Linked DNA regions of Rattus norvegicus. The protein of the gene in region 1 interacts with the protein of each later gene in a biochemical or structural test. Links are inferred from orthologs where the notes say so. Each region holds a gene or a part of one and is shown in the gene's direction. Other genes may lie near its edges.

Region 1 (6,638 bases):
TTTAAGGGAAAGTTTGCCAGAGCCAGAAAATACAAAGGAATGTAACACAGACCTGAGCTCACTTTCCAGCTGTCTGTATACCCCAAGCAAGACGCATGAACTTTCTGGGACCATTTCCTTCCACGAAAAGTCTAGGTAAAAATGTATGCCTCCCAAGATAGCTGTGGGAAGAAAACAGCATACTTAAAACTGCTTGGACTAACTAGCAGATTAGTGTTTAATAGACAAAACTTACTTTTATTACTGTTATCATAAATCATGTAGAATATGAGCTCCTTGGCAAAAAAGGATGAGGGCCGCGCACAGAGTAACTCGGTCTCCCTTAGGGGGAAGTAAATGTATCTCGACTTCACAGAAACCCTGCTCTACCCTGCCCCCACCAAGGTCAGCGCTTGGCTGGCAGCAGCCAGTTACCCTCTGCAGCCGGGAGTGAAAAAGAGCTGGCAGGTTTCCCACCGATACCAGCTGCTATTGGGTTCTGAATACTCAAAAGGCAAAATATCTTAAGGCACAAGGGTACAAACCCTGAGCTGAGTTCTGAGGCAGCAAAGTCCAAATTAGAACCTAGGAACTTAAAGTCCAACTTTAAACCTCAAGTCCTAGGCTGAAGGGCGGCTTAGGGAACAGCTGGTTCCCGGTCCTTTCCTACCTCGCTTAGGAAAATACACTGGCTCCTGCCAAATCACAACCCAGTATCCTCCAAATCGTCCCACCCTCACCCCACCCCACCGAAGGCCTGGGGTAACTCCGAAGCTGGTAGGGAAAGGGGCACCAATTGACCACCTTCTAGTCTCAGAGTCAAGACTAATGCCTAGCAGCCCGATGTAGTGGATGGACCTCATCCACTCTACTTCTAGATGAGACCAATAAAGTTCAGAAAGTTCTGAGATTTGCACTTTTGCCCTGGGAGAACCAAGCTCGCCACCTCTTTAGTCAGTCTTAAGGGGTAGAGGGTGGAGGGCGGATAGCAGAACCTTAGAAAAGAAACAACTTACATGTGTCTAGCGCTTCCTAGAGGCCGCACAGGATATGAATCCACCATCGAGCGGGGAGGGGATTTTTCAGTCTTTCTACCAGGGACTCCTGCTTAAGCACCGTGACTCGGGGCGAGTCCGCAGCTCTCAAGGCTTGTTTTCCCAGAAGCAAATCAGGGAGGGAGGAAGGGCGGGCGCGAACTGAGTGTGCGCGGGGCTGTGTGTATGTGCTAGTGCAGGCGAGCGCTGGGGTTTCCTGAGTTTCGAACCTTTATATGTTGCTTTCCATACCCCAAGGAGCCGGGGTGGCATCTTTCACACCTAGAAGGGGGTCCCTCCGAGGTAAAGCGAACCCCTCCCGGCACGTCCCCAGAAAATGAAGTGTTGTGCCGGGGACCCTGGTGAATTCATTCCGAGCACAGCAAATCTCTGGTTTCCAGCACAGCACACTGCGGCGCAGATCCTTCTCCGAAACTAAACTTCCATGCGCACTCGGCGTGGGAGGGCCACTCTCAAACCCGCTCAACTTCAACCCACTTGCCGCTCCCGCACCCGGGGCGAACACAACCATATTAACCCGCGTCGCTCTGTCTCCCGGAAGTGCGGGGGTGCGGAGCCAGCTTCAATCGCCCAGATCATTCAGCCCTTTCACGGGTGTGTTCGTGTGTTCGTGTGTGTGTGTGTGTGTGTGTGTGTGTGTGTGTGTGTGTGTGTGTGTGTGTGTGTAACCTCTACTCCCACCCAAGCCCTCCGCCCCAGGCCACCAGCGCGTCTCCCCAGCTTTCTGGATCCCCGCGTCTCGGTCTGGGTCCCCAGCCCTGAACTTGAGCCCGCCTCCGACAGACTCCGCAAGGGTCCAGCGGACCCGGCAGCCTCCGTCACTAGACAGCCAAACCAAGACGTCAGCCCACAATGCACCGGGCGGGCCGGGAAAGACGCGCCGGGGAGGGAACCCGGGAACACAAGCCGGAGCAACGCGCGGGAGGGGGAGGGAGGTGGAGAAAGAAGGGCCCAACTGTAGGAGCGCAGCGGAGCATTACCTCATCCCGTGAGCCTTCGCGGGCCCAGAGAAGAATCTTCTAGGGTGAGGTCTCCATGGCGACGGGTGGGCCCGCCCCCTTGAGAGCGACGCAAGCCAATGGGAAGGCCTTGGGGTGACATCATGGGCTATTTTTAGGGATTGACTGGTAGCAGATAAGTGTTGAGCTCAGGCTGGATAAGGACTCAGAGTTGCACTGAGTGTGGCAGAGACTGCCTAGCTGGAGAGCGCTCAGGCAGACAGACAGACGGACGGACTCGGCTAACCTGGTCGTCCGCGGACTCCGGGCTGTTCATCTGTTTGTCTTCATTTTCTGACCAACTGCCTGGATCCAGCGCCCGCAGCTCCTGCACCGGTGTTTTGGGGAGCACTTGGAGAGTCCCTTCTCCCGCTTTTCCCGGAGAAGAAGCTCACAAGTCCCGGCACTGCTGACAGCATCGAGAACGGCTCCGGACCGCGCGAGGAAATAGGCGAGCGGCTACCGGCCAGCAACTTTCCTGACCCAGAGGACCGGGAACAAGTGGCCCGGAGCGAACTTTTGCAAAACCTCTTCTGCGCCTAAGGCTGCCACCGAGACCGTAAAGAAAAGGGAGAAGAGGAACCTATACTCATACCAGCTCGCACAGGCGGCTGAAGTTGGGCGAGTGCTAGCCGCGGCTGCCTAGCGTCCCCCTCCCCCTCACAGCGGAGGAGGGGACAGTTGTCGGAGGCCGGGCGGCAGAGCCCGATCGCGGGCTTCCACCAAGAATTCCGTGACGACTGGTCTGCGCCGCCGGAGAACCTCTGTCGCTGGGGCTGGTCCGCGGGCTCCGAGGAACCGCTGCTTCCCGAGAGCGCTCCGTGAGTGACCGCGACTTTTCAAAGCTCCGGATCGCGCGGGAGCCAACCAACGTGAGTGCAAGCGGTGTCTTAACCCTGCGCTCCCTGGAGCGAACTGGGGAGGAGGGCGCAGGGGGGAGCACTGCGGTCTGGAGCGCACGCTCCTAAACAAACTTTGTTACTGAAGCGGGGACGCGCGGGTATCCCCCGCTTCCCGGCGCGCTGTTGCGGCCCCGAAACTTCTGCGCACAGCCCAGGCTAACCCCGCGTGAAGTGACCGACTGTTCTATGACTGCAAAGATGGAAACGACCTTCTACGACGATGCCCTCAACGCCTCGTTCCTCCAGTCCGAGAGTGGCGCCTACGGCTACAGTAACCCTAAGATTCTGAAGCAGAGCATGACCTTGAACCTGGCCGACCCGGTGGGCAATCTGAAGCCGCACCTCCGAGCCAAGAACTCGGACCTTCTCACGTCGCCCGACGTCGGGCTGCTCAAGCTGGCGTCGCCGGAGCTGGAGCGCCTGATCATCCAGTCCAGCAATGGGCACATCACCACTACACCGACCCCCACTCAGTTCTTGTGCCCCAAGAACGTGACCGACGAGCAGGAGGGCTTCGCCGAAGGCTTCGTGCGCGCCCTAGCTGAACTGCATAGCCAGAATACGCTGCCCAGTGTCACCTCCGCGGCACAACCTGTCAGTGGGGCGGGCATGGTCGCTCCCGCTGTGGCCTCAGTAGCTGGCGCTGGCGGCGGCGGCGGCTACAGCGCCAGCCTGCACAGTGAGCCTCCGGTCTACGCCAACCTCAGCAACTTCAACCCGGGTGCGCTGAGCAGCGGCGGTGGGGCGCCCTCCTATGGCGCGACCGGGCTGGCCTTTCCATCGCAGCCCCAGCAGCAGCAGCAGCCGCCTCAGCCGCCGCACCACTTGCCCCAACAGATCCCGGTGCAGCACCCGCGGCTGCAGGCGCTGAAGGAAGAGCCGCAGACGGTGCCGGAGATGCCGGGAGAGACGCCGCCCTTGTCCCCCATCGACATGGAGTCTCAGGAGCGGATCAAGGCGGAGAGGAAGCGCATGAGGAACCGCATCGCTGCCTCCAAGTGCCGGAAAAGGAAGCTGGAGCGGATCGCCCGGCTAGAGGAAAAAGTGAAAACCTTGAAAGCGCAAAACTCCGAGCTGGCGTCCACGGCCAACATGCTCAGGGAACAGGTGGCACAGCTTAAACAGAAAGTCATGAACCACGTTAACAGTGGGTGCCAACTCATGCTAACGCAGCAGTTGCAAACGTTTTGAGGACAGACTGTCAGGGCTGAGGGGCAGTGGAAGAAAAAAATAACAGAGATAAACTTGAGAACTTGACTGGTTGCGACAGAGAAAAAAAAGTGTCCGAGTACTGAAGCCAAGGGTACACAAGATGGACTGGGTTGCGACCTGACGGCGCCCCCAGTGTGCTGGAGTGGGAAGGACGTGGCGCGCCTGGCTTTGGCGAGGAGCCAGAGAGCAGCGGCCTGTTGGCCGCCACGCTTTGCGAACGGGCTGTGCCCGCGCGACCAGAACGATGGACTTTTCGTTAACATTGACCAAGAACTGCATGGACCTAACATTCGATCTCATTCAGTATTAAGGGGGGTGGGTGGGGGCTTACAAACTGCAATAGAGACTGTAGATTGCTTCTGTAGTGCTCCGTAAGAACACAAAGCAGGGAGGGCTGGGAAGGGGAGGGAGGCTTGTGAGTACCAGGCTAGATTGCGGATGAACTCCCCTGGCCTGCCTCTCTCAACTATGTATGTACATATATTTTTTTTTAATTTGATGAAAGCTGATTACTGTCTATAATAAACAGCTTCCTGCCTTTGTAAGTTATTCCATGTTTGTTTGTTTGGGTGTCCTACCCAGTGTTTGTAAATAAGAGATTTGAAGCATTCTGAGTTTACCATTTGTAATAAAGTATATAATTTTTTTATGTTTTGTTTCTGAAAATTTTCAGAAAGGATATTTAAGAAAACACAATAAACCATTGAGAAGTAGCCCCCAACCTCTCTGCTGCATTATCGATAGATAATGAGAGCTAGGTGAAATGACAGCTGAGTGTCTGTATGCTGGGGTGAGAGCCTGTAGTCCCTCCCGTCTGGTTGTAGGAATAGACACCCTGCATGCTATCATTGGCTCATACTCTCTCTCTCCCCAGCAACCCACAAGTCCAGACTGTTGACCAGAAGATGGTGCAGTGTTTCTTAAGGCTGGAAGAAGAGGGTGTTGCAAGGGGAGAGGGACAGCCCACTGGGAAAGCAGACGCTTGAGTTGAGAGCCATATCAAGTAGCATGCGCTGTGATCGTTTATAATAATAATAAAGACTTCAGCAATTAGATGTTTATCTCAAAGCAGGGACCCATGGAAGGTTTTACAAAAGGTGTCTCCTTCCAACTTGGATTCTGACGACTCCTAGAAAAAGATGACCTTTGCTTGTGCATATTTATAATAGTTCGTATCACAATAAATGTATTCAAATAATGGTTTTAAAAATCTTGAATTCCTTTTCCGTTGCTAATCTTTGTTTCCTAAGCCGCACACTGAAGATTTTCCAAGTTTCTGGGGGAATTAGTGCATTCTACACTTTGCAATTTAGAAGCCAAGCATTTAGGAAGAGTCAAAGGAGGATCTGGAACCTGGGTGACTCTTCTCCCAACCCTCTCCCAATTCCCACTTGGCACCCTCCCCATCCCCCCACCTCTCGCTCCTACCAAGGAAGTGACCAGTGTAGTGAGTCCTTATTTAATTTTTAATTTGTTTCAAAATAATCAATCTGGCTTAATTATTGAGGTAGTCTGGGAAGTTCCTAGTATATATACTATGGAGCGGAGTCACAAGAGAAATGACTATATAGCACATCTGTGATCCAAACCTCAGCTCCGGGGAGACAGAAAACCTGAATCGTGTCTCAGATACAGCTGAGGTTATCAACAGGTTTGTATTCAACGAGGGAATCATTTTTGCCTGCTCCCTTCTCATCCCCATGAGCTGCTGTGATTATCAAGCAGCAACAGCAATTTGATATCCAGGAACACTTCAGAAACCACTAATTGAAGCCTGGCTGTTAACTCATTAGCACTGCTCCAATGCTCAACGGGTCTGGGAGAGCCTGTGGTGGTAAATCCAAACACACAATTCCTCAGTACACCTAGGTCTGCAGAGGCCTGGACAGGCTTGTGGGTTATCAGACGTGCTCCACTGTAATAATGCTCCTTGAACAAAGAGTTACTGGGAGTGGAGGCACTTTCCCAAGCAGTGAATTTGCTGATGTCAGCAACCCGGGAGGTGAGTTGATTTTGACCATATGTAGGAGTAGCAGAGGGACAATAAAGCACTTTAGGGTGGAGCTCCGTGGAAGTTAAACCAGTGCAAAGCAGAAAACTCACACGGGTTGGGAAATGGATAACCTGCATTGCTAGACTAAGCCTAGACAACAGCACAATGGAGAAATGCCATGGCACTCCCCGGCTGGCTAAAAAGGAAAAGGGAAAAAGAGTTCAAAGGTTCTCCAGCTTATCCCCACACTCATTCCTTTCAACTAGTGTTTTGAATTCTGTTCCTGAAATTCTGACTGTTCTAACCTAAAGAGGCAGGAAAAAAAAATAATGGCAAAAGAGGAACTTCAATAATGGTAAACTTTAAAAAGCAGCTAATTACTGTAGACACAATGGCTAATTCTATTATGGACTTTAGGTAACCCTTAGGATTAAGCCAATGGCATATAAAGTCATCAATCTTGTCTTAATTATGTATATAAGTATATGTAATATGTATA
Region 2 (5,292 bases), on another chromosome or scaffold:
CACGCACGCATGACCACAGCTCTGTCCATCCTGCCTTGTATCAAGACCCATCGCTGTAAATAGGCTCCCTACAGCTGTGCTGTACACGGGGCTCCTTTTCACTCCTAAATTTGAGCCTGTTTTGCACAGTGTGTTCTTTGCACAGTGATTACAGTTTAGGGATGGGTTTCAAAGGACATAACATTTCCATTTTTGTTGTGTTCGTTATCTCACACTTCTGAACTCCACTCTTTAAAATGGAGAGTGGCTCTTATGTCTAGGGAATGACGTAAAGGTGCCTGGTTGGGAATCTGGAGGTACCTGCATGACTGTCTCACTCTGCTTTTCAGAAGAGGATAGTGTTTGTGGCACTGCGACAGTTTCTTAGGCACTGCTGTTACTGCTGTAGGAACATCTTTAACAATCTGTGAGTCACCAGCTGTGAGCATGCGTCTGAAACTGACTTCCCTTAATGTGGAGCATAAGGAAACAGCCATGGCTTTCTGAGTCCCAAAGTCACTTTAAAACTCTTCCTTTGTCTAAAGATAATTTGTGCTGAGATTTTTCTTCACTCGAATAGGTAGTAGGAACCTGCAGTGTAATGTAATGACAGAGGTCATAGAGAGGGAACGTTCTGGATTGTTATGAGTTCATACCCCTGGAGGTGCATGGCGGATCCTGCATGTGCCCCGTTACCTGCTGCCCAGGATCCTGCTGCCCAGGATCTTGCTGTATGTGTGGACAGGTGCTTGTTTCTTGCAGTACAGTGCTCCCTAAACTGGACCATGGAGCCTTGAGGTGGAACCAAGGCCCATAAGCCAGTGACCAGTTGAGCTTCAAGTCTTCCTCACTTCTCATTCCAGGCAGAGTACCTGGAATTTGCATTTAAAGGCATTAGCGTTTCTTGGGAAAGGATTTCTGTTTAAGAAAAAAGGAGAAAGCAGCGGTTTCCTCTGCCCTGTGCATTCATTGTCTAACTTTCGTTCTGTTCCTCTCTGCAGGGTTGTGAGCGGTTCTCGAGATGCCACTCTCAGGGTTTGGGATATTGAGACCGGCCAGTGTTTACACGTCTTGATGGGCCATGTGGCAGCAGTCCGCTGTGTTCAGTATGATGGCAGGAGGGTTGTTAGTGGAGCATATGATTTTATGGTGAAGGTGTGGGATCCAGAGACCGAGACCTGTCTACACACGTTACAGGGACACACTAATAGAGTCTATTCGTTACAGGTAAGAGACCGTGTTTCTCCCACCCATAGATTGTCTGCCGATGACTCAGAAGATTGTTCTCCTCAGAGAGTTACTGTCCAGTTGCTGCTTATATGTACTTTAAAATTAGCATGAAGTGGGTTGGGGATTTAGGTCAGCGGTAGAGCACTTGCCTAGCAAGCGCAAGGCCCTGGGTTCAGTCCCTAGCTCCGAAAAAAAGAAAAAAAAATTAGCATGAAGAAGCACAGATTCCAAAATCATGTAACTCATTTAACGATTTCAATTTCTGTGATCCATTCTTTCTTTAAAATACAGATATTGTCTTAGAACCTGATACTTCAGGATTGTACATTTTGCTACGAGTCCTTTAGCCGAGGATTAATTTGACCAAAAGCTGCCCCTTTGTCTTGATAGCTAAAAGTTGATGGAGCATGTGATTGCGACCCCATTGCCATTTGAAGTAGCCGTGGAACCTTTCTGCAGAAAGTCCTGTACTTGCCCAAGGCCACTGACTGGAAGCCACAGAGAGACGAATTTGACTGACCTGTTGTTTTCCTTTAGATTTGAACTTGATATTTATTAATAGATTGTAATATTTCAAGATCTTCAGAAACTAGACATAAAACGCGGTTACTTTTATTTCTGGAAATGCAGCATTTTCCATCCTAAAGTACTTCCTGTTACATAATTTCCTTCCCCGTTACTACTGCCGGTTAGTGATGAGCAAAGCAGAACAGAATCCTGGTGCTGATGTCGCTGTTCTTAGGGCATCTGATTCTTAATTGATGATACTGCCCAAGCAATGAAGTATTGATCTATGATAAGGATGTTGATTACTCCAGAAGAGATGATGGCTTCCAAGGGGAGGGATTGGTTGCTAATGTTGCTGCTTGTGATGTGCTCAGGACCACAGAGAATGATCTCAGAATAGATAGCTGCATGTTATATATACCTTCTGGGGGATTGGTGGGTGCTTATTGGCTTTTAGTATCCTTGGGAAGCTGAAGAAGAGACTACTTAGCTTGCTTTTGTTACTAAAATGCCACCTCTTCTAATTCCTGATACAGTTTTCTTTTGGGATATATGCTAATTAGCATTAAGTTTTTGTAAACAACTTCATTTTACAAAGGCTTTTTGGTGGAATTTACTGTTGAATATCATGAAAGTCATCTGTGGCCACTCCCTTGCCTTGGGTGCTGATAAGCATGTCTTATCTTGAGCTCTGTCTTCGGCTTCCTGTAGGCAAGTCAGACTCTGCATTCTTACGAAATACATGGATGGGATGTAGCTTCATGCTGGGACCAGGTGATCTGAAAGTAATGACGGTTATATCGGGTCCTTTGTAGTATTTTGGACACATGACCCACAGACTCACATGGACATCACATGCACATCAGCTTACCTGCAAGTTCACCCCAGGATGCTCTTTGTTCTGGCCAGCATGCTGCCTGTACCCCACCCCCATTGTGAGTAAGGTTAGCAGCTGCGAGGACAGGGACCTGTGTTTCTGTTCTAATACTCTCCTCGGTGTCTATTGTAGTTTGACGGCATCCATGTGGTGAGTGGATCTCTTGATACATCAATCCGAGTCTGGGATGTGGAGACAGGGAATTGCATTCACACGCTAACAGGACACCAGTCGTTAACAAGTGGAATGGAACTCAAAGACAATATTCTGGTCTCTGGGAATGCAGATTCTACAGTTAAAATCTGGGATATCAAAACAGGACAGTGTTTACAGACATTGCAAGGTAAGTCTGGCCCTCCGTCAGCCATGTTCTGTGGAAGTGTCACTGCTATCCAAGAGAGAGCCTGTGTGGAACAGAGATTTAACCTTATATAGAACACCTGCTCCTGATGAGTTTCTGAATGTTTGGCTTTCAAAAGTAGGCCACCTTGAGAAATGTCTTTCAATTGTGTCTTTACTGTGAAAACTCTTTTTTTTGGGGGGGGGGGGTTCTTTTTTTTGGAGCTGGGGACCGAACCCAGGGCCTTGTGCTTCCTAGGTAAGCGCTCTACCACTGAGCTAAATCCCCAGCCCCTACTGTGAAAACTCTTAATCATTTGCTACGTGTTCTGTTGACTCTATTTAACTTAACAATGAGAAGAAAGACTTGGCTGTCTCACAGAGCAATGCTTTTTTTGAGTGAACATTTTATTTTGAACTGAAGCATCTCTGATAGGAAGTTACTCTGACCTCTGCTTAGTCAGTTCCTTCAGCTGGAATGGAAGGGTAATGGTGCTCTCTGAAGTAAAGATTCGAGTGAGAAGTATTAGCATCATTAGGTATAGCCGTTGGGCTCTTCATGAGTAACTTTCTCCCCTTAGTCAGGCCCTTAGAAGGTTGTTGCTTGTTTGTTGTTTGTTGTTTGTTTGGGGCGAAGCCATCAGGAGGCAGCACAGGGAAGCCCTTGTTCTATAATTGTGACTGTTCCTAAGAGTTTGGGCTGGTCACAGGTTCACCTCCTTCTTTGGTCAGTTGAGAATGGTTGAGTGACAGACCTGCATGTTCCTTTATCCAGCAGTGGAGCACGTGCGCTGGCTGACCAGGGCTACTGGGAGCCAGAGCTCTTGAGACTTGGTATGTAGTTACAAATGGCTGCCAGGTTTTCTTACATCCAAGCTGGTCCTAAACTGGTCGTAAGTGCACAGCTTTTCAAATGTTGCGTTTCTTGTATGTTCTAATGTAGAGAGCACGAGTCCCACGCAAAAGCCCCTGAGCCTCGCTCCGAAGCAGTAACCACCCTTTGCCTTTGCCTAGGTCCCAGCAAGCATCAGAGCGCTGTGACCTGCTTACAGTTCAACAAGAACTTTGTAATTACCAGCTCAGACGATGGAACGGTAAAACTCTGGGACTTGAAAACGGGTGAATTTATCCGAAACCTAGTCACATTGGAGAGTGGGGGGAGCGGGGGAGTCGTGTGGCGGATCAGGGCCTCAAACACGAAGCTGGTGTGTGCAGTTGGGAGTCGGAATGGGACTGAGGAGACCAAGCTGCTGGTGCTGGACTTTGATGTGGACATGAAATGAAAAGCAGACAAGATGAATTTTGTCCGACTGTGTAGACAATATACTCCCTGCCCTTCCCCCTCGCAACAAACAAACAAACAAACAAAAAATGAAAAAAAAAACAGAAAAAAAAAAGAAAAAAGAAAAGAAAAAAAAATCCCTTGTACTCAGTGGTGCAGGATGTTGGCTTGGGACAACAGACTGAAAAGACCTACAGACTAAGGAGGTAAGAAGAAGACAAGAGACCGTAACTGACCGGAGGCGGCAGCTGTCGCATCACCCAAAGGCCTCACTTCTGACTGAGGGGCAGCTTGGCGAAAGGAGACTCTAAACCCAACCAGGTGCAATTGTTCTTTATTTTCTTCTCCAGTGGTCACTGGGCAGAGCTTCATCAGCGTTGTTACCTTCACCAAGGAGCAGTGGTGGTGATCTCCAAACACGGGCTGGTTATCTTCCAATCAGAGCATCTGCAACAAAAAGTCATTTTTCTGAAGTGGAAAAGCTTAAATTACTGTGAATTGTTTGTGTACAGTTACCATGAAGCATTCTTTTTCTTTCCTTTTTTTTTTTCTTTTTTTTCTTTTTCCTTTTTCTTTTTTTTCTTTTTTCTTTTTCTTTTTCTTTTTTTTTTTTTTTTTTTTTTGCCAACCATTGCCAATGTCAATCAATCACAGTATTAGCCTCTGTTAATCTATTTACTGTTGCTTCTATATACACTCTTCAATGCATATGTTGCTCAAAGATGGCAAGTTGTCCTGGGTTCTGTGAGTCCTGAGGTGGATTTAGTTCTTGATGCTGGTGCTAGAAGTAGGTCTTCAAATACGGGATCGTTGTCCCACCCCTGTACTGTACTCCCAGTGGCCAAACTTATTTATGCTGCTAAATGAAAGAAAGAAAAAGCAAATTATTTTTTTTTTTATTTTTTTTCTGCTGTGACGTTTTAGTCCCAGACTGAATTCCAAATTTGCTCTAGTTTGGTTACAGAAAAAAAAAAAAAAAAAAGACTTTTTTGCCACTGAAACTTGAGCCATCTGTGCCTCTAAGAGGCTGAGAATGGAAAAGTTTCAGATAATAAAGAGTGAAGTTTGCCTGCAAATA
Region 3 (6,802 bases), on another chromosome or scaffold:
AATTTGAGTCACAACTTATTCCCCATTTTCTTTTCCAAGGGTAGAATATCTTGAAGGCTTGAAATCACTGATGCTCTCCCAAATCCTCCAAGTTTGTGGTGCATTATTTTGTAGTCACAAGAGAAATATACTAGGTTCCTTAGGATATATCCATCCGTTCTTTTGCCATTCAGCAAAAGTTAGTAGCAGTTGGCAGCCTTCCAACCTTCACATGCCTACCCTAACAATTTCCACACTCACTGGGTGTGGCACATGGCTGAATTCCCAGCTCCAGTGAGGAGGAAACAGAATCATAGCCCATTGAGGTCATCCTTGCCTAGAGAGTGAGATGCTGTCTCAGCCCTGGTTCCCCACAGGAAAGAAACTTGGACTCTCCAACCCTGTGTGTCTGTGAGTATGTGTGTGTCTGTATGTGTGTGTCTGTGAGTATGTGTGTGTCTGTGAGTATGTGTGTGTCTGTGAGTATGTGTGTGTCTGTGAGTATGTGTGTGTATGTGAGTATGTGTGTGTATGTGAGTATGTGTGTATATATGGGGGGTGGTGTTCTGCTGGTTATAGAGTTCAAGTGGCTTTAAGTTTTTTGTCCTTGTGTTGATTCCTTTATTTTTCTTCATCTAGTAATGGTGTAGGCCCTTAAAAATAATTTCATTTTCCTGGGCCGTTTCTGTCTTTTGCTTCCTTTTCAACCATTTCCAGCACCCTACAAGAATCTTTCACATCATGGATACAGCATAAGGAGTTATTCACAGTTTTTTCTTCCAAAGTGGTTCACCCATGTTCCTATGTCTCTTATAAAACTGATCAGTATGTGACATTGCTTTGGGAAACCTTGTCTTGCTTTGAAAAGACCTCAAATATAACTTTGACCTATTTCTTTTCTTGACTATGGGATCCATAAATCTGGGTCTGGTTATTACCATTTGAATGTTTAGTGTCATTTCAAATGTACATGCTTTAAGAATGAATCTAACTTCTCCCCATCTGGCTTCTTATCTGTCTTCTGTATCAATTATTAGCTGCAGGGAACCACACCAATTTCTCAAAAAAACCTTTGAGTCTTTTCTGACACTTCTATTTCCCCACCACTGGAGAATGAGAGCAAAGAGCAAGGCCTTTAGTTTGGCCTCTACATTAAGAACTGTAGCCTTTCATTTCTCCACACCTCCACTACCATCACAAGGATCCTGCAGGGGGAGGGGCAACAGCTAGGATCCCTAACCTACTGCTCCTTTTTATTTCTTTCTCTTATGATTTGTTTCCTGTGTAAGAGCCAAAGAGTGATCCTTTAAAACATGTTAATACATTCACTGGCCTGTTAAATCCTTCTCAATGGTTCAGCGGTGCATTGAGAATAAACCAGAAACAAATTAGTACAGCTTTCAAGAACTGGTTTCTATCTGCCTGCCAGCCTCATTTCTTTCGTGCCTTCAGGACAGCAGGTGTAGTTGATCCTCTCTTGGGGTCTTTTCTCTTCATATGACTAGAAGGCCATTACCTAAGCTTGTCTTAAGACTAGTCCTTTCCATCAATCAGGCCTTGGCTCAAATGGAAACACCGTAGGAAAGATCTGTGTTCTTTACTGGCCACAGTACTTAGCCTCATGTTCTTGATCATGGTTACTGCTGTTTGTCAACCATACTGATAATTAGGGCAACACAGTGTTACACTGTTAATTAGGGCAATTGTTGCTATGAGAACTAACTTTATTTACTGTCTTACTTTTCTATTTTCAATGTAATCTGTTATGGCAAGAACATAGTCAAACTTCATAAGTGGATGGCTAGTGCCAGCAGACTCTGGGACAGCAGTCCTCCTTTCAGAGCTAGGATAGCTAGAAAACACAGATGTCTCCCACTCTGGCCACTCTTAGGTAAAACTAGGTGCTTTAAAGTACTCTGTAAACTTAGGAACAGCACCCTTATCCTGTCTACCCAAGCAGTACTTTGTACCACCAATCTAGAGAGTTTTCTAGAATAGTGAATGACTATATGTAGTTGTGAATTTTAAGATTCCATCACTGACATAAGACACAACCCTGTAGAAAACCACATTTCAATGAACCATTAGTCAAGACAAGACAAACAAACAAACCAGAACAAAATTAACACACTGCAAAGAAAACATGCAAAAATTGTTTTGTGCTTGTGCATGTAAGAGGAAACATTGGGGAAGCTGAAGTGAGAAGTAGGGCTGCCAAGATCTTCAGAATTCTCAGAAGGTTTCTGATGCTTTTCATTGCAGCTTGTTAAAGCAAATAGGGCTCCTGTACATCTACAAACTCAAAGAACCGACCCCGAAACAAAGACAGAAATATAATAAGGCCTAAGTTCTCCGAAGAACCTCTTTTTGCTCAGCCACCAGTATAATCAGATCAAAATTAGTGCTGTGGATGTGGGGCAGGAATCACTCCTAGAAAGTCAGGTTTAGATTGACAGTTTTGAAGAGGCTGAAACACAGAAGTTCCAAACACAAAACAAAGTAGAAAGCAAGAACCCTATTCAGACCTTGCTCTTGCCTGCCCTTAAGAAGGCGGTGGGTGGAGCAGGTGGGGTTGATGGAAAGGGTACAGACTATTACTAGAGAGACAAGGGTTTAAAGAAGTCAGCTGACTGGGCGCCTACCCTTTAACAAACTCGAGGGCTCCCAGAGGGAGTCCCCTGTTAAGTGGGCTCTGCCGGGCTGGCATTCCCGGGTCTACTCCTGTAGGATCCTTTGGAAGGGGTGGCCAGGACTGCCCTAAATGGGCGGGTCCGCGGCGCTAGTGTCCGCCGAGTGGGTTGGGGCGGCTGCTGCGCACAGGGGGCGGCTCCCCGCTGGGCTCCCGTTCCCCTCCTCGGCTCCGCGGCGCCGCCCTCGCCCCGCCCCGCCCCGCCGGCGCCGACCGCGCCGACCCGCCGCGGTCCCCGGAGCGGAGCGCGCGGCGGCGGCAGTAGCTGGGCGCCTCCCACGCGCTGCCGCGTGCCCGCCCGCTCGCCCGCCAGTCTGCCCGTCCACCGGCCCCGACTCCGCTCGGCCATCTTCGCCGCTCCCGCCCTCGCCAGCCCGGGCCGCGCGCCCTGTCCCCGCGCGCGGACTTTCCCGGAAAGTTTGGTGGTTGTTTTCGGCCGCCGCAGGCAGCGGCGCCGCGCCCCACCTCCGCCAAACTTTGGGGCTCACTCGCGCCATGAGCGCCCCTCCGCTACTACGGCCGCCTAGCCCGCTGCTGCCCGCCGCGGCCGCTGTGGCCGCCGCCGCTGCTGCGCTGGTCCCGGGCTCCGGGCCCGCGCCCTTCCCAGCGCCTGGGGCCGCCCCGGCGGGGGGCATCTCGTTCCATCTGCAGATCGGCCTGAGCCGCGAGCCGGTGCTGCTCCTTCAGGACTCCTCTGGCGACTACAGCCTGGCGCATGTCCGGGAGATGGCTTGCTCCATCGTGGACCAGAAGGTAAGGTGCCCCGGGTCCGCCAACTTTGCAGCCGGCCTCGCCCGCGCCGTACAGCCTGGTTGTGGCCGGGTTGCATGCTCTTACCCCAGGCACTGCTCTCCGGGCCGCGCAGTCCTCCCGGGACTGACCTCCAGCCCTTCTTCGCTGGCATGTCTGCCTTCTCACCTTTACCTCCCTTCCTCCGGTGACAGTTCAAGGAATCTTACACTTTTCTCCTTGCGCTCCAGCATATTTTTGAGATTTCCTGGCTGTCCCGACTCCTTTCTCTGGACCAGAGCCTACCTGGTGTCAGATCCACTTCCCAGCACCAGAGTTCCCTTGGGACAGCCCTTCGCTTTTTCAGCACCGCTCCCTTCCACTCCATCCTCTTTCAGCTCTAATTGATGCTGCGGAGTTCCGGGTGTGACCTGGACGCCAGGGATTTCTCACCTGCCAATAGTGCTTTTAAGAAAGGGTGATTGATTAAGCCAGCTGTGAAAACAACTGAGCAGTTGGTGCACACTACCCAAGTCCTCCCTGGATTTAGTACCACCTCTGTTGGAGCTAAGAGACATTTTCCAACAATAAAACCTGAAATTTACAGCATTTTGTGCTTAAATTTCCATCCACTGATCTTGGGAGACTGGAGTAGTGAGAGGGTCTGTAGTTCCAAGAACATCCAGTGCTGGCTTTGCCCTTAAGTTTGAGGCGATGCGATTCTGGATAGCGGTCATCAAAGACTGGTTGGAGAAAGGCTCATAAGGCTGGGCTTGGCCACCCACCATTGTTTCCAATGATGAATTCCACTTTTGAAGTTAGGTTATCTCCACAGCCATCCAGAAGGATGCTTCATGTAAGGTGGAGGACCCTTGCATGTGCCACTCCTTCCCAGTGTGGACAGCCAGGGCTCTGGGGGAGGAGAGAGAGATAGAGGAGAGGGTTAAAGGTGCTGAATTTCAACCTTGGAGGGCTGACTGGCTACTTCTCACCTTTTAATGAATAGTCACCATCTTAAACTGTTTGGAACAAAGTGTCCTACACTTTTTGAGCACAGAGTTCTAGGGAATTGCTCCTGGGAAGCACTCACTAACCAGGAAGTGAAAATTCTAGAGGCCAGACTCAAGTAACAGTGAGTGCCTTGAAGTTTGGTTAATTAAAGGGAGTGATTTTTTTCCTTATGTAATTGAACTCTTTGTAGCTCCCTTGAAGTACTGAATTCAGTCCTCCCTCTTCCTGGAGATGGTGAACATGCAAGCATTCTAGGCTCTGACGGCCTCACTATATAGCTTTCAAATGTTTCTGTTATGAAATGGATTGATTGATTATAAAGCACTGCCACACAGGCATACACAACACATGTAATAAAATCATTCACAAAGCCCATTCAGTTCCATAACAATTTAACAGGACGTTCTAAAGAAGATGGTATAGTGTTAGAATGTCCCAATGGGCTAGATTAATGAGGACAAACTTTGTTTTGACCTGCTTAAACTCTCTCTTTGTCTCTGCCTTCCTGCCCCCCCCCCCCACGGTGTGTCTGTGTGTCTGTCTGTCTTTCTGTCCTTGAAGTTGTGAATGGTGAAATACGATTCAAGAGGTTTGGGTTGGGCTTTTGAAGAAGAGTGAATTTCACTTGACTCAGGGGGCTGCTATCTGGGGAGTGTTATCAGCACCCAGGAGAAGTGTAAGCAAGAGGACATACAGGTGCAGCAGGCTGGAACTTCCTCAGTAGGAGATGTAGGGAAGGTTCACTTATGAGAAAAGTCTTGAGATGATTAGAAACTTACATTGTAAAAAACTCAGTAATCTTTTCAAAAGAGATAACCAGACCGGGCGTATCTGAGATCCACATTAGCTTTGTGGAGGGTGTTTTAGAATGGCAAAAATGTAATGGCAGAAAGAAAACTGGAGTACAGTCAAGTGCTGTTTATATCTGAGCCAAGACTTGGGGAGAGCTGGAGGAATGCTGGAAAGAGAAGGGCACCAGTCTTGCTGGCGCTTTCTAAGGGGAATCCTTTCTTTATTGTGTTTATTTTGTAGCTTTTCACCAAAAGAAAAGTTTGAAAACTTTTCCTGGGATAACCATAGCCTTTTTTTAAATGGGTCTGGCAAGGTTAGAAATTTTGAAATGTGAATTTTATAATACATGATATTATAAGTAAAAATACTAAGTTATGGGTCTAAACAGTGTGCCTCTTCAGTTATTCTCTCATCTATCGATGTAGATATCAATAACCTATTATCTGTATCTGTCTTCATCATCTATCATCTCTCCAGCTGTCTGTGTCAATCATGTAACTATCAATCACCTATCTGTTATCTCTCTACCTATGCACCATTTGTTTGTTATCTATGGATCTTCTGTATCGATTTTTGGCATATGTTATTTGCCAAGACAGAATTCTTGTGCTGTGACAGCAAGAGTGGGTAGCTTGCTAGTATAGAGGTAAGGAAGTGGGAGGGGGCTTTTGTCCTTTGTCTCATGGTTTCTCTTAAGCTTCAAGAAGATAACAACTGTGAGGAAGAATGATGGGGGTGGGTGGGAAAGAGAGAGAGAGAGAGAGAGAGACAGAGAGAGAGAGAGAGAGAGAGAGAGAGAGAGAGATCTATACATACAGGTTTTTAAGAAGAAGGTTCTCTTGATTTTTATAGTCCTTCTATTTATTGTTTCAGTATTAGGGGGCTTTTTATCTTGTCTGTGCTCAAGAGCCCCTAAAAACTAACATGGACGCTTAGCTCGTTGGAAGTATTCACTGACAATTCAGTTGACTTCAGCAGTTTTGTTCAGGAGACCTTCTCTGTGGGATGAGCAGCTGAGGTGGACAGGGCTAAGTAAGAGAGCTTCTGTGCCAGAGAAACTTTGCTTGAAGTTACTATTTAGTAGAACTTAACAATGTAGTTTTTTCCTTAATTTGCAGGTTTAGAAAATAGCAGATGTGTGCTCATACTTGATGAAATTAGATGGTAATTCAACAGAAGTACTTTTAAGGTATTATATCCTAACCATTTTGTGAGTTATAAGTTAGTAATACTTTTTTAATCTGATAGTTCAGTAATCTGGGATGATCTCTTTCTTTGCATGGAAGAGTGTATGAATACATAAGAGGTTATTAACTCTGCCCTTTTGGGAGATTGAGCTAAGGGCTAACTTACAATATTTATTTACTTTAACTTCACATGTGTGTATAGCATTGGATGTTGGTTATAGGTGAGGATGTGTTCTTTAATCAGTATGCGTGACTTCATTTTACTTTGAAATTCTTTAACTTTCTTCCATCGAAGGAATTTTGACTATGTAGGATGGGAAGGCATTATTGTGAAGCAATGGACAGTATCTCAGAGGATGATGCGGTTTTGATCTGTAGCAGGCTACCTGTCCACATTGGCTGCATGCACACACAG
Region 4 (6,115 bases), on another chromosome or scaffold:
GGATGGGCTGGTGCCAAGAGAAACAGAATGGCCTCTGAAAGCATCATTGTCAAAGGCAGTTTCAGGAGGGAGTGTGGTCTGTGGGATAGGCCAGAACCCAGGCCCCTCCCCTCCCCTCCCCTCTCCAGACTTCCCTTGGTCAGCCTGTCTCACAGGTTCGATGCCCAGCTGGGAGAGAAGTCAGATTGATCTCGAAAGTTCTTCTCTCATTTAGAGACCTGTACATCTAAGGTAGCTTTAGTATGAACATTGATTTCAGTTTGTTTATGTGATATTTATTTATTTTGTGTTTAATCATTTATCTCATAGGTTGAATCATTTTTGTCATAATTTTATTTTGAATTATAATAGGAAAACAGATTATGTTGATTTAATGAACCATGACCATACTTTTTAAAGATGCAGAGTATAAGAGCTTTTATTAAGTGATTTAGAAACCCAAACCTTATTTAAGTATTGTCTCAAAATGTTTTTGCTGATCCTCTAGGGTAGCCTAGTTACTTTCTTGTTCATAGGCATAAACAGTTTTTCTTTGCATGAGAGTATTGTATGTATTACGACTCTGAAGCGCATTGTAGCTGTGTTTTCCTCAAGAGAATCCTTAGATATTGATCAATGGAATAAAGTTATTGAACAGCTAGGAACACCATCCGCAGAGTTCATGAAGAAACTTCAGCCAACTGTAAGGAATTATGTGGAAAACAGACCAAAGTACCCTGGAATCAAATTTGAAGAGCTCTTTCCAGATTGGATATTTCCGTCAGAATCCGAACGAGACAAAATAAAAAGTAAGGCATTCTTGTATCCTGCACTTGTTTCTCTAACACCTGAACCCTAAAGCCCATGTATGTTAAGAGGTGAAGTGCTAGAAACCCTGAAATAGAGGCTCTTACAGTCTGATGTTCAAAGGCACCACAGGAGGAAAACTTTAAAGGCCGAGAGTCTTGACCTTGCTACAACAGTGCAGCCAAAGATTCAGATCAGTCTGCAAACCCTTAGGTTATAGGGTGGGAAAGTGCCTCGGGCAGACACACTTGCCCTATAAGGGTGAGAACTTGAGTTTTCATCACCAGCATCACTCAGAAGGCACAAGCATGGCTGCCTGTGCCCGTAACCCACCCTCTGGGGCTGAGACCAGTGGATCCTGGAAGCTTGCTGACCAGCCAGTAGGGGAACTGGGAGCTTCCAGTTCAGTGAGGAACTCTGTCATAAAGGAATGAGGAGGAGAACAAGACCACCAACTCCCCCTCTAGCCTCAGAGTACATCTTACCCACACTCAAACATTCATATGCATATACCACACATGTTCATGCACGCACACACACACACACACACACACACACACACACACACAAGACCCATATTGTAATGTCACCAATCCTAATTCAAAACCATTTCAAATATAAAGAACATTTCAGTAAGGATTCTAGACAGAAACTATTAAGTGTGGTCCAGTGGAAAAGGCCCTCGTTGCCCTTCTGTGTCCTTCCTAGAATGTGGACACCTGAGGAAAAACAATAGCTTTGCTGTCCTCTATGCCAGGGTGAGCGGCACCTTGGTCACAAAAGCCCCGACTTTTCCTTGGCTGTATATGTTGTGAATTTTTCATTGCTGGGACCTTACTGAGCATTCTGAATTAAAGTTAATTAGCTTCTTGGTTTTTTTTCTTACTAACCTCTAGATTAAAAACAAAAACACTGTATACAGCTAGGCAAAGCAGTGGTGCCTGTGAAACTATACTCTGGGACTGTGTGTGTTACTCTGAAGGTTTTAAACTTGTTCTAATGTGACCCAAAGAACAATGCTCCTGCTACATGATGTCCACACTCCTGGCAGCACAGTCTTCAGAGAGGTGCTTGCTGCCCGCTGTGCTGTGGCTTCATAGCTTCAGGTCATCTGGGTACTGGTCTGAGGCTACCTAGTACCCTCACCTCACATGCTAAAAGCCTGGTTTTAATAGTGGCCATTGGGCTTTTAAAGGTGTAAGCTGTGTTGGTCTTGAACCTCTTACACATCTTCTGAAGTCAGCATGTCTCTTTGCCCTCCATACTTTCTGTTTGATTCTTTATTATGTGGTTCCTCTTTTCCACGGTAGCAATGTAATTGCATCATTTGTTTACATCCTAGCAAGTCAAGCCAGAGATCTGTTATCGAAAATGTTAGTGATTGATCCGGACAAGCGGATCTCTGTGGACGAAGCCTTGCGCCACCCGTATATTACTGTTTGGTATGACCCCGCTGAAGCAGAAGCGGTAAGTTCTCTTTGGAAAATGTCCGTGTAGAGGGCTCACTGTACAATCCAGGACCCACTGTCTTTGGGTCCTCTTTCCGCTGGCCCAGAATGGCTACATGAGCACAGCAGGTTGTTAGTTTTAGGGTCCTGACTTAAGCAGTAGAACAAGTGCTGTCTAAGGCCTAGGTCAGTAACCCTGGTGGCACTTGCCGCTGGGGCTGTAGCTACAGAATGCTCAGGAGTGTACTGTGGTGTATGCTGACCTTATATTGATAAGGCTGATGTGTAATAATAATTTATGAGGCACCTGCTTCATGCCTGGCACTGGGCTATGAGCTTTGTTTACATCTTATTCAGTCCCTCAAGTCAGAGAGCCTAAGCAGCCTTCCCAAGAGACACATCAGCTCACATCTCCCCGCCGCATCTGGGCTTGTTTCTTCATAGCATCCCTCGTGTGATGATCCTTAGCTATGAGGGAAATACACCGTGGGGAGTTTACTTCATGGCAGTGGTGGAACACTGTTGTGTCCTGGGTTTAGATTTAACTGCCATTGTAACATTATGTTATATCAAAAGAATCAGATTTATGAACAGCCAAGTTATGGACTGTTCCATTCATGAGCTTGTGGCCTGTGCATGGGTGTTCTGTCATGAAGAATGTGAACTGGAAGTATTTTCTAAGAACATACCACACCTCACTCAGCTCCCACACAGCTGACCCTCTGAGCTGCCTATTGTTACTAATTTTGTAACTTCACTTGTGCAATGTCTGCAGAACATTTTGAGGTCATGTGATTATTGAGATTTATTACTGATAGCTTGCTTTTGGTTAACTTTCTGTAATTGTCTTTTAAACTGATAAAATATATCATGCTTACAAGAAAAATCTAGAACATGTTAATTAAAATAAATCCATGAGTAGACTCGGAACATTCTAAGTAGTGTTATCTTCCCAGCATGGCCCATAAGTTTTGAGCTATCGACCTGACATATCATTTCAGCCACCACCTCAAATTTATGATGCCCAGTTGGAAGAAAGAGAGCATGCGATTGAAGAGTGGAAAGGTAAGAGTGGCTTGTTTAGATCCTTTCTTATGACGATCCCATAGTCGTACAGAGCACACTCCCATAGTCCACCACAACATGTTCCCATAACCCTCCAGAACACATTTTTTACTACTTATTCATACTAGCCTCTTTGGAAGGACCTTGAAAGCCAGAAGCCGCAGTGTCCTCTCTTTCCACTTCCCAGCTGAGAACGACTGTGACACTAGCATGTTAGAGTAGACTATGTATGGCATCATAATTTCCTTCAGGTGAAGCAAAGGACTTCTGTGTGACTTCCATCATCACACACTGATGTGTGGCCTGGTCACACCCCTAAGTGTTCACACTTCTTGATAGCGTGGACGTTTGGAGCAAACCCAGTATACAGGCCACATATTCCTTACACAGATCCCGTCTAAGCAGGTATGGGGGAGCCCAGATATGGCACATGTAATTGAATGTGTATATTAAACCATGTAGTTACGTATTTTAAAATCTAGTCTGGAGGAAATTGCCAAAAATAAGCAGGAAGGTATTACTAGCACTTCAAGATGAACCCCAGTCACAGTGAGTGAACTAAGATGGTCAACAAGAAGCAGACCCTGGAAGCTTCCATTATGATGCGGAAGCAGGTTACAGTAACTAAGGGCCATAGTCAGTGCAGGTCAGCACTGATCAGACTTTCCAGATTGACATGCCAGTGGCCCACTCATGCACAGTCACCATGGCAACACGCACAGTAGTATATGCTTGCAGTATGCTGCTAATGTGAGCCCCTAGTAACATGTGGTAGCCAAAGGAAGTTGAGACATCCCAGGGCCTGGGGTGGCTCTTGGGATCTGGAGGCAGAGTTCGGTGCAGGGGAAATGACCTAAGCATCTCGACTTCTGTTTCTCTTTGAAGAACTAATTTACAAAGAAGTGATGGACTGGGAAGAAAGAAGCAAGAATGGGGTGAAAGACCAGCCTTCAGGTTGGTGATTGCTTTAATTTTGTTGTCTCATATTTCTTTACCTACTCAATGTTTATAAATGACAGTGATATATTAATGTCACTTGGCTATCTTTGTATGACATTGTTACCTTCCTGCTTGCCCTGATGCTGGTGCAGTGGCTTTGCACTCATGTTTTTTGCGGTGCCAGCCCTAAGCTGCATTTGAAGCGTCCCTGTTGTAACCTTGCTGTAGTCGTCGCCAGCTCTGTTTAGAGAGGAAGGGGTTTGGATTTGAAACGTGTTTGAAACGTGTTGCCCTCTTTGCTTGGATCCATCCAGTTTATAAAAAAGGATGTCAGTGCAGACCTAAGATTCACGTGCTTTAGTTTTCTCAGCCACAGTAACACATGGGTAGTAGGAGGTAGGAGGGCTTTATTTACCTCCGAAATTAAAATAATGATTTCTTGACTCACTAGACAAAAATAAAATCTAAAGCAGGCGCTAAAGTTATCTTTTGGGGTGTATTTTTTTTTTCGGAGCTGGGGACCGAACCCAGGGCCTTGCGCTCGCTAGGCAAGCGCTCTACCACTGAGCTAAATCCCCAACCCCTGGGGTGTATATTTTAGAAAGTGTTTTTATCACAAAAGATTCATTTGAATCCTGATGGTTTTTCCTACAGATGAGGTTTGTCTATTGTGGATGAAATGTTCATCACACTTGAATCCTTCTCAGGCCTAAGCCTCTTGTGGTAGTTGTAGGGAGAATTCATCCATTTTCTCTTAAGGTCTATTTGAAGTTAGCAGGTATATCTTTTAAGTCATCAACATGGTCATATGTGACCACATACACATTGCCCGTGGTGCGGGCAGAACAGGGGACTATTGTAGGGAAAGCCCAAGACTGATTTCGAAACTGAACTAACAAAGGACTCCAGGAAAAATCCCAGAAGCTTAAAGTGTAGTTGAGCAGTCTTGGTTCTGTGGGTCATTAGGATCCGGAAACTACCAAGCACAGAATGGAGAAGTAGCCTGAAGCCCCACGCCTGGCGTGCAGGATGCCGTGCCTCAGATTTTACTCCGTTTGGTTTTCTTAGCACAGATGCAGCAGTAAGCAGCAAGGCTACTCCTTCTCAGTCGTCATCCATCAATGACATCTCATCCATGTCCACTGAGCACACCCTGGCCTCAGACACAGACAGCAGTCTCGATGCCTCAACCGGACCCCTGGAAGGCTGCCGATGAAACCTCGCAGATGGCGCACTTGTCTGTGAAGGACTCTGGCTTCCATGGCCCTGAGCACATGGGAGCTGGTGGAACCAAATCAAGAAGCTCCATGTTCTGCATGTAAGAAACACGACGCCTTGCCCCCACTCAGTTCCAGTAGGATTGCCTGCGTAGACTGTAACATGAGGCAGACGATGTCTGGAGAAAAAGTACAAACCACACTGTTAGAAATTTTGTTCAAGATCATTTCAGGTGAGCAATTAGAATAGCCGAGTTTCTTTTTCCAGTCGTGTGGTGTCCTTGGTGACAGATCATGTGTAACTGTGGGGACTCGTATGCATGTGACCACAAATGCTTGCTTGAACTTGCCCATGTAGCACTTTGGGAATCAGTATTTAAATGCCAAATAATCTTCCAGGTAGTTCTGCTTCTAGAATAATCTCTTAATCCTCTTTAGTAATTTGGTGTCTGTCCACAAAAAAATAGATCATGTGTATGAATTGGCCACTATCATATTATCATATTTTACCCACTTTTATGGTATGATTTATTCTGTCTTTTGTATTTCAGAAGGAATATAATTAAATTTATTTAATAAATAAAACTACAGCTTTTCTTAAATTTGTGATGTTTTAGGCTGAGAATTACCACTGCTTTATATCGACACTCTGTGTCCTTT
Region 5 (6,720 bases), on another chromosome or scaffold:
AGGGTTTCAGTAAGAGGGAGGGGATGATGTCGGACTCGGAGCTCTGTAAACAACTAAGAGTTTCTATCTAGGTGCGACGTGGTGACTGAAAGCTAAAGATTAGAACAGCAGGGAGACGGGCGTGGGGGAGGGCACCACGGTCATGACCAGATGCCCACAAAGCTCTGCGGACTTCTGTCCACGTTACTCTTCACGGTTCTGAGGGAACTGCTGGCCTTGCTGCTTGGGTTCTCAAGGCTGTCCACTTGAAGACAGGACCCACTTCCATAAATCTGGCTCGAGTATTAGCAGAACTCCGGTTTAATCCGTAAGACAATAAGGATTTCTGTAGAGGTTCCCAGAGGCTTGGGGGCAGGGTTCGTGTGCCCCCCCCCATCTCCCTGTTACACTGGATAGTGGTGTTTATTTATTTACTCCAGGGCAGCCTGTTAAAGAGATGGGGCAGGTACGAGGAGATCCCAAACAACTTTCATTTCTAGGCACCTGGCATTCTTCGGGGTTGTGCCGACACGCCCCGGGTTTACCTTAGGGCAGGTCGGCTGGAGGGCGGGCGGTGGAGGTGTGGAGCAGGGTGTGGGCGTGGGAGATGGAGGGTGGGGCCCCGAGAGCGTTACCAAGGCAAAAACCAAAGCAAAACATTTGCCTGGCGCTTCCCGCGCGACGCTGCTGCAATCCCGTCAGATCCTGGCAGGATCAAAGGGAATCCCGGGGATGGAACCACCCCAGGCTTCCAGCGAGGACAAGGACAGAGAGATTCCGGGGCCCTGGATGGAGGGCAGGGGCCTGTGAAGGTCGAGAGTCGGCCTTGGACTGAAGGAACCCGGGTGCAGAGAACTTGATTTTGCCCGAAGTGTCTGTCTCTGGGTACGGCGTAATACCGTGTGCGACCTTTTCCGTAACCGTCCGGGTGGCAGGTGCTATGGGGCAGCAGCACGGAACAATTCTGCGTCTCACCCTAAACTACCACCCTGTGACCTTCTGATCGCCTTCCTCTCAAAGGCAGGTGTTAGCAGGTGCCTCTGCCTTTACACCTCGGCGTCCAGCCCGGTGTGCGCCTACGAACGCCTCCCAGGCAGGTGCGCGACTACTGGGCCGCAGCCGTGTGCAGGTCTAACCCTTGATGAGCTATGGGGACCAGTCCGGGGTCTTGCGCTCAGCCCAGACCGTCGGAATCACTGGATCAGAATCGGGAAACTATTTTCGAGGTTCAAACCCAGGTCTGCTGAGGTCTTGGCCTGAAATCGAGCCGTACGCGCCCAGCCTTCCCAGCCACCAGATTAGGGAACAGAGGGCCCGGTGTTCCGGCTTTAAGCGGTGCGTGCTCAGTCCCCGCCACCGGGTCCCTAGCACAGCCCTCTGTTCCTGCATACAGACACTCGAAACCTGGAGACGGTTTTTCTCTAAGTATTTCCCGACGTCCAGGCGGACCCCCACCCCCGCCCAGGCTGGGCGCGTAGAGATCAAAGCGTCCTCTTTCCCGGACTGGCCGAGCCGCCTTTTTCCAGCCCCTTCTTATCCCTGCGCTAGGTGGCCTCTGATCTCTCCAAATCTTTCCCCTTTCTAAGCTCTTGCTTTCGCGGAGAATTCCCTGTTCATTTAAAAACGTTTTGTGGTTGTTATTAAAAACAAAAATGAGCTGACAGCGACCGGTCACTGACACCTTGGGTTCCTGGCGGGTTCTGGGGCCCCTGCGTGTGCACGGCCAGGGCGTGGGAGCACGAAGCCGCCGAATGTCTACGTTAACCCACAGCTGTGAGCGGGGGCCCGCGGCAGCGGAGGTCACAGGGGCCGGTAACCGTGTGGATTCACCGGAGTGTAACTTTGGGTACCTCCTTCACGCGGGATATCGTCTCCGCTACCCCTTCCCCGCCTCCTCCTTAGGCTAGGCCGCTGGCCAGAGAAGGCGCCTTTTCCTGAAGTTTTAGAAAAATGACCACGCATTTTAGAGAAAGGTCGTGCCCGCTTCCCAGCCTCACCTAGTCTGGGCCACTGCCAGGACCCGCCTCCCAGCACCCCTCCCCCACCCCCATCCCAACCTAGCGGAGGGAGAGATGCCAGGGCGGTGGAGTCATGCCGCTGGCTTGGGCACCATTGGCTCATGCCTGGAACACGCAGCGGCGAATACGCACATCTGGCGGTGCGCCCGGGCGGCTCCCGGCCTGATATGGAGATAGAGGGCGGGCGGGTGTGTGTGTCCCGGGCGTGCGAGGCGCGTAGGACGCGCTGTGACCGCCCCTTCTCGCACTTGCATCACCAAGTCCGCGGTCTCCACCCACCTTTTGCCCCGCCCTCGTCCCTCCTTCACCCCTCCTCTGGCCAGTTCTCCCTGGAAGCTATTAATAGCATTACGTCAGCCTGGGATTGGTAACCAGGAGTTAAGCGGGCTCCCTGCCAGCGCGAGGGCTTTAAAAGGGGTGATGCAACGCGCTCCCAGTCACAGTCTCACTCAGCGAGACGCGCGGTGCACGGTGCTTCCCCGGCGGAGCCGACCGACCAACCCGCGCTCCGGCAGAGTCCTTGGCGCTCGCCTGCCGGCGGGACAGACAGCCCGCCTCTAGCCGCTCTCTGGACCCTGGCCGCCCCGAGCGAAGACTGGAGGTGAGCATTAGAACCACGCCGAGGAGCGCTGCCCTCCCCACCCTAAGTTCCCCTCTGGTGACCATCCCCCGGACCCTTGTGCCACTGGGGACCCGAGCCCTAGTTTCCGCACCACAGTCGCTCGGCTGAGCTGTTCTTCTCCGCCGCCGCTCCCGGCTGGGGAAAAGTTTCTGGTAAAGTGAAAGAACGAACTTTCTCTTTTGACTTGAGGCGTGAAAGATGCCCTGGGAGGAGATCGCGCGCTCTCAGCTCGCAACTAGGAGAGGTCCTCTGGGTGGGTGGTGGGTGCTGGTGCGCGGGGGTGACCCACACTCTGGGGGTCGCGGTCCTCTCCTCCGTCCATCACTTTGTGTCTGGGCTCTGGAGTAGGAGTGGGTCCCTCCTGAGTCCGCGGAGAGGTGTGGTGGCCCTGGCTTGTGGAAGCGCTGCTCCGGGTACGGAGCTAAATGAATGGAGAAGGAACACTCGGTCGGAGGTCCGCACAGCCGCAGGAGGTCGCCTTGCGCTCCGCGGAGCAGAGCTCCGGGCCGCAGGATCTCGTAGAGGGCTGGGAGCGAAAGTGAGTCGGGATAAGTTTGGAGGCGGCGAGCGCTGGTGTGGCGCTGTCCCGGGGCTGAAGGCAGAGAGGTCTCCGCACCCGCTAACTTCGGTCGGCTGGGCTTGAGACGTCACTTCCAGCCTCATTCGCTGTTGTGAATTGCTGTGCTCTGGCTGACTTTTAACTGGTCCTTGGATTTCTTGGTGTATTCGAAGTGAGCCGAAGAAATCGGATCAAGCGGGTGGAGGGACCAGGGTGTGGGACCACTTGTACTTGTTGGAGGGAGGGGTCCGGGAGGAGTTGTCTTGTGACAGGGTCTCACTCTGTAATCCAGACTGCTCGTAAACTCCGGGCAATCCTCCTGCCTCAGCATCCCAAGTGCTGAAATTACAGGCCACTATGCCTGACACCTCTCTGCCTGTGTGGGAGCCTGCGCTGCGTGGTTCAGATAGCCAGGTTTTGACAGATTTGTTTCTCGAGTGAAATAATTGAAATAAAAGGAGTCGGGGTGGGGGGAATGCTGAGTGAGGGGGCTCCCCACCCAGCTCTCCTAACGGGTCTCTGAGACAGGGCAGGAATGGGGGCTTCTCCTGCATCTCTGTCTCCTAACTCTCTCCCATTGGGTTGCTTCCCTGCTCCCACCCCATTCTCATTCCCAACTCCCATTTCTGTGTTTTCCTCCTAGCCATTTTATTTTCTTTGATTTCATCACACCAGCTTTCTTATAAACTAAAGGAGTTGCCAAGTCCAATAATTTAAAACGTTTATTCTCCCCTCCCCTGGTTCCACTTTTTTGAGACAAGGTCTCCCCGTGTAACCTGGTCTTACTTTGAGCTTACGGAGATCTTCCAGCTCCAGTCCCCAAGTGCTGAGAAGAAGAGAGCACATGTTTTGCATGTTGCGTTTACTATGGGATAGTGTTACCACACACAGGCTCTTGCTTGGGGGTGGGGCTGAGGCTGGGGTGGGGGTTACTGTTGCTTCTATCTGGAGGGTTCAGAGGCTGCTGACCAGGTGTCCAGAGTGAAGAAGACATCGCCCAGCATCTGTGGCTATCTAAATCCCTTCTCAGGCACACCCGTTTCTTGTAGCCATTCTGTCAGAGCCTCTTCTATGACGGGGTTGGGGGGGGGGTGCAGGACTCTTCAGCCCATAGTTGCCTACCTGGCTGGCAGCTCTGTCCATGATTGCTTACTTGGTTGATCTGTTGAACTGCTGGGTCCTTGTGGTAGTGCAAATCGAGCAAGGGGTGGGTGTGAGCAGCTTGGCTGGACCGGACCACACCCATCTCTGTGAGTTTAGACAAGTGCTACCCCTTCCAGGACCTCAGTTTACTCAATGACAAAATGGGGATTTGATCCAGATAATTCTATGTTCCAGGAGTCTGTGATTCCTTAAGGAACTGGCAACCGGGGGTTCCCCATCACAGGAGGAGGGACATAGTCAGGAAGCCACAGAAACTTCAGGAGAGAAATGGTTTTCTATGTGAGAACTCTCAGTCTCTGTCAATCCAACTATAGTGGAGGAGTGCTGATGTCAGCAAATGGGGTGTAATTCGCCCTGTGTCTTGGGAACTCAGGGGTCAACCACCAGCTTGAAATTCTTGATAGTTCCAGTCAATTCCTGATCAATAGAATTAAACCGAACTGAACTTAATCAGGTTCCCTGAGGGGCTGGGGGGAGGTGGAGTCAGAATGGACATGTGAATACTGATTTTCTAATGTTTGTGCATGTGATGTGTTGTCCCCCCCCCACACACACACACAACCCTGGGAGGGAATTGGCAACCTTGATCACAATTTTCAGATAGGAACTAAGGTCAGAAAGCATCCAGCTCGTAAATGGATGCTCAACTAGTGGGGACCAGAGATAGAACTGGAGAATACTGTCTCATCCCACCCTGAAGCAGCCTCTGCCTCCAGCCTTCAAACAGGAAAAAGAACAGGATGTGGAGTTAGGAAGGCAGCTACTGATTCCCCAGTACTACAGGACGGTTTGCAGACAGCTGGGTGGAAGGAAGTGGAAATCAAAAGTGAAAATTCAGAGCCATCATAAGCTACTTGGAGATAAAAATCTAGGAGCCGAATTTCCAGCTAAATAAGGGAAGTTTCATTTTCTTGAAAATGACGAAATTGCCAACCGTATGTGACATAATTTCTGATTGGTAGTGATGAAACAGAAGTGGAATCTGGAAGCAAATCTGGAAGAGAGTTTTATCATCAGTGCAGAAAGTTAAGTCAGCTCATTCCCAAACCCCCAAACACTCCCTTCTCTGGGGCCTCAGCTTCTGGAATCAAGCTGAAGTTTTAAACTTTCTTTCCCTGGAGGGACACAGCCTGACTTCTAGTCTGACTCTCTGGAGAACTCTGTGCAAGACAAACCAGGAAGGACAAGAGCCCAGATCTTGCAGAGTATGCCCCACGATGATGGGAAAAGTTTTCTTAATGGCTTTTACAATGCAATTGTGTCCCCAAGTGAGCCCCACCCCCCCCCCCCAGCTTTTCACAAAAACATTCCACACCACCACCACCGACATTCCTCGGTTTCTTCCTGAATTTACACTAAGAATGTTGTTGGGGGAAGTCCGAAACAGCAGACTTTAACCTCAAAGGGCTCATTAATAAACGTAACTGGGTGGCTAAAAGGGACATGCTCAACTGCTATGGCTCAAACCAGTTAAGTATAGATGAACTATTCAGTCCTACAGATTGGACGGCCAGGCCAGTGGCAGCTCTGATCTGTTTTCCAGTAAAATGGGGAAGGAGAGTGTGTGTATGGGAGGACGCTGAGCCCCTGACTTCAGAAGTCAAAGAAACAGCATCCCTCAGCCACAAGGTTAAGAGACATTCAGTCCTTGCTCCCGTCTGGGAGAGCATTGAATATACATTTCTCCAGTTCTTTTGACTCTGCAATCACTACCCTGGAATTTCTGCCTCCACCGGGGGCATTAATCTCCAGGGAAAAGCAATCCTGAGGAAGGGCTCCTAACATCATAGAAGGTGAGCAGACCCCAGGGAGTCTCCGAGGGAGAGCAGCCATCCTTCCGTGGGAGTTCCTGGGAGACCCAGTGTAGTTCCTGGTCTAGGCATTTCAAGGCATTTCTTGTATTATTTCCCAAGCTGCTCACCACTCTTGGGGAATTAGGGAACTCATTACCAGCCGTCCTTTGCAGAGGAGAAAGCCACTGGGGTACTGTCACAACACATAACTGAGTGGTCCTCAAACCTCGATTTAAAAAAATAGATTCTGGTGTGGAGATTTCATGGATAAAATGGCTCGTTTAAACTTAGCTCTCTCCGGTGTAGGCAGTAGCTGAGTGTGGACCTGATACACAGAGCAGAGCTCAAAGTTCCCTGGGAGTCTTTGCTCCCCGCCACTGTTTCTGCTTTAGATCCCCCACCTGCTCCTCCTCACCCCCAACTTTTGCTGGTTTTGTTTGTTTTGTTCAAGAAAGTATTAACATTTGGGTTTGCTGTGTATAAATAAAGGCTGTGAGTTCTGAAACCACGCAAAACAAATCCCAGTGCCCCGTACTATATCCCACGATAATGTGATCTGTCTAAATCTCAGTTAATTCCTGTCTA

Evidence for each region.
Region 2: the proteins of Jun (region 1) and Fbxw7 form a complex in vitro, tested with the Homo sapiens proteins (3 studies listed by BioGRID, with this or other methods). The link is inferred for Rattus norvegicus from reciprocal best matches to the Homo sapiens genes JUN and FBXW7.
Region 3: of the proteins of Jun (region 1) and Prkd1, one has a biochemical effect on the other in vitro, tested with the Homo sapiens proteins (2 studies listed by BioGRID). The link is inferred for Rattus norvegicus from reciprocal best matches to the Homo sapiens genes JUN and PRKD1.
Region 4: of the proteins of Jun (region 1) and Mapk9, one has a biochemical effect on the other in vitro, tested with the Homo sapiens proteins (17 studies listed by BioGRID and IntAct, with this or other methods). The link is inferred for Rattus norvegicus from reciprocal best matches to the Homo sapiens genes JUN and MAPK9.
Region 5: the proteins of Jun (region 1) and Atf3 form a complex in vitro, tested with the Homo sapiens proteins (2 studies listed by BioGRID and IntAct, with this or other methods). The link is inferred for Rattus norvegicus from reciprocal best matches to the Homo sapiens genes JUN and ATF3.

Annotation. Positions count from the first base shown.
Region 1 is NC_086023.1:115,008,618-115,015,255, reverse strand, and holds Jun (transcription factor Jun), read left to right. Parts: upstream 1-2,262; 5' UTR 2,263-3,120; coding exon 3,121-4,125; 3' UTR 4,126-5,356; downstream 5,357-6,638. UniProt on the Homo sapiens protein: Transcription factor that recognizes and binds to the AP-1 consensus motif 5'-TGA[GC]TCA-3'.
Region 2 is NC_086020.1:172,603,676-172,608,967, forward strand, and holds part of Fbxw7 (F-box/WD repeat-containing protein 7), read left to right. Parts: intron 1-980; coding exon 981-1,206; intron 1,207-2,725; coding exon 2,726-2,936; intron 2,937-3,946; coding exon 3,947-4,215; 3' UTR 4,216-5,292. UniProt on the Homo sapiens protein: Substrate recognition component of a SCF (SKP1-CUL1-F-box protein) E3 ubiquitin-protein ligase complex which mediates the ubiquitination and subsequent proteasomal degradation of target proteins.
Region 3 is NC_086024.1:73,770,487-73,777,288, reverse strand, and holds the start of Prkd1 (serine/threonine-protein kinase D1), read left to right. Parts: upstream 1-2,882; 5' UTR 2,883-3,163; coding exon 3,164-3,421; intron 3,422-6,802.
Region 4 is NC_086028.1:34,703,663-34,709,777, forward strand, and holds part of Mapk9 (mitogen-activated protein kinase 9), read left to right. Parts: intron 1-605; coding exon 606-788; intron 789-2,128; coding exon 2,129-2,253; intron 2,254-3,235; coding exon 3,236-3,299; intron 3,300-4,184; coding exon 4,185-4,253; intron 4,254-4,625; exon of another isoform or gene 4,626-5,306; coding exon of another isoform or gene 5,307-5,311; coding exon 5,312-5,454; 3' UTR 5,455-6,115. UniProt on the Homo sapiens protein: Serine/threonine-protein kinase involved in various processes such as cell proliferation, differentiation, migration, transformation and programmed cell death.
Region 5 is NC_086031.1:105,291,470-105,298,189, reverse strand, and holds the start of Atf3 (cyclic AMP-dependent transcription factor ATF-3), read left to right. Parts: upstream 1-2,445; 5' UTR 2,446-2,598; intron 2,599-6,720.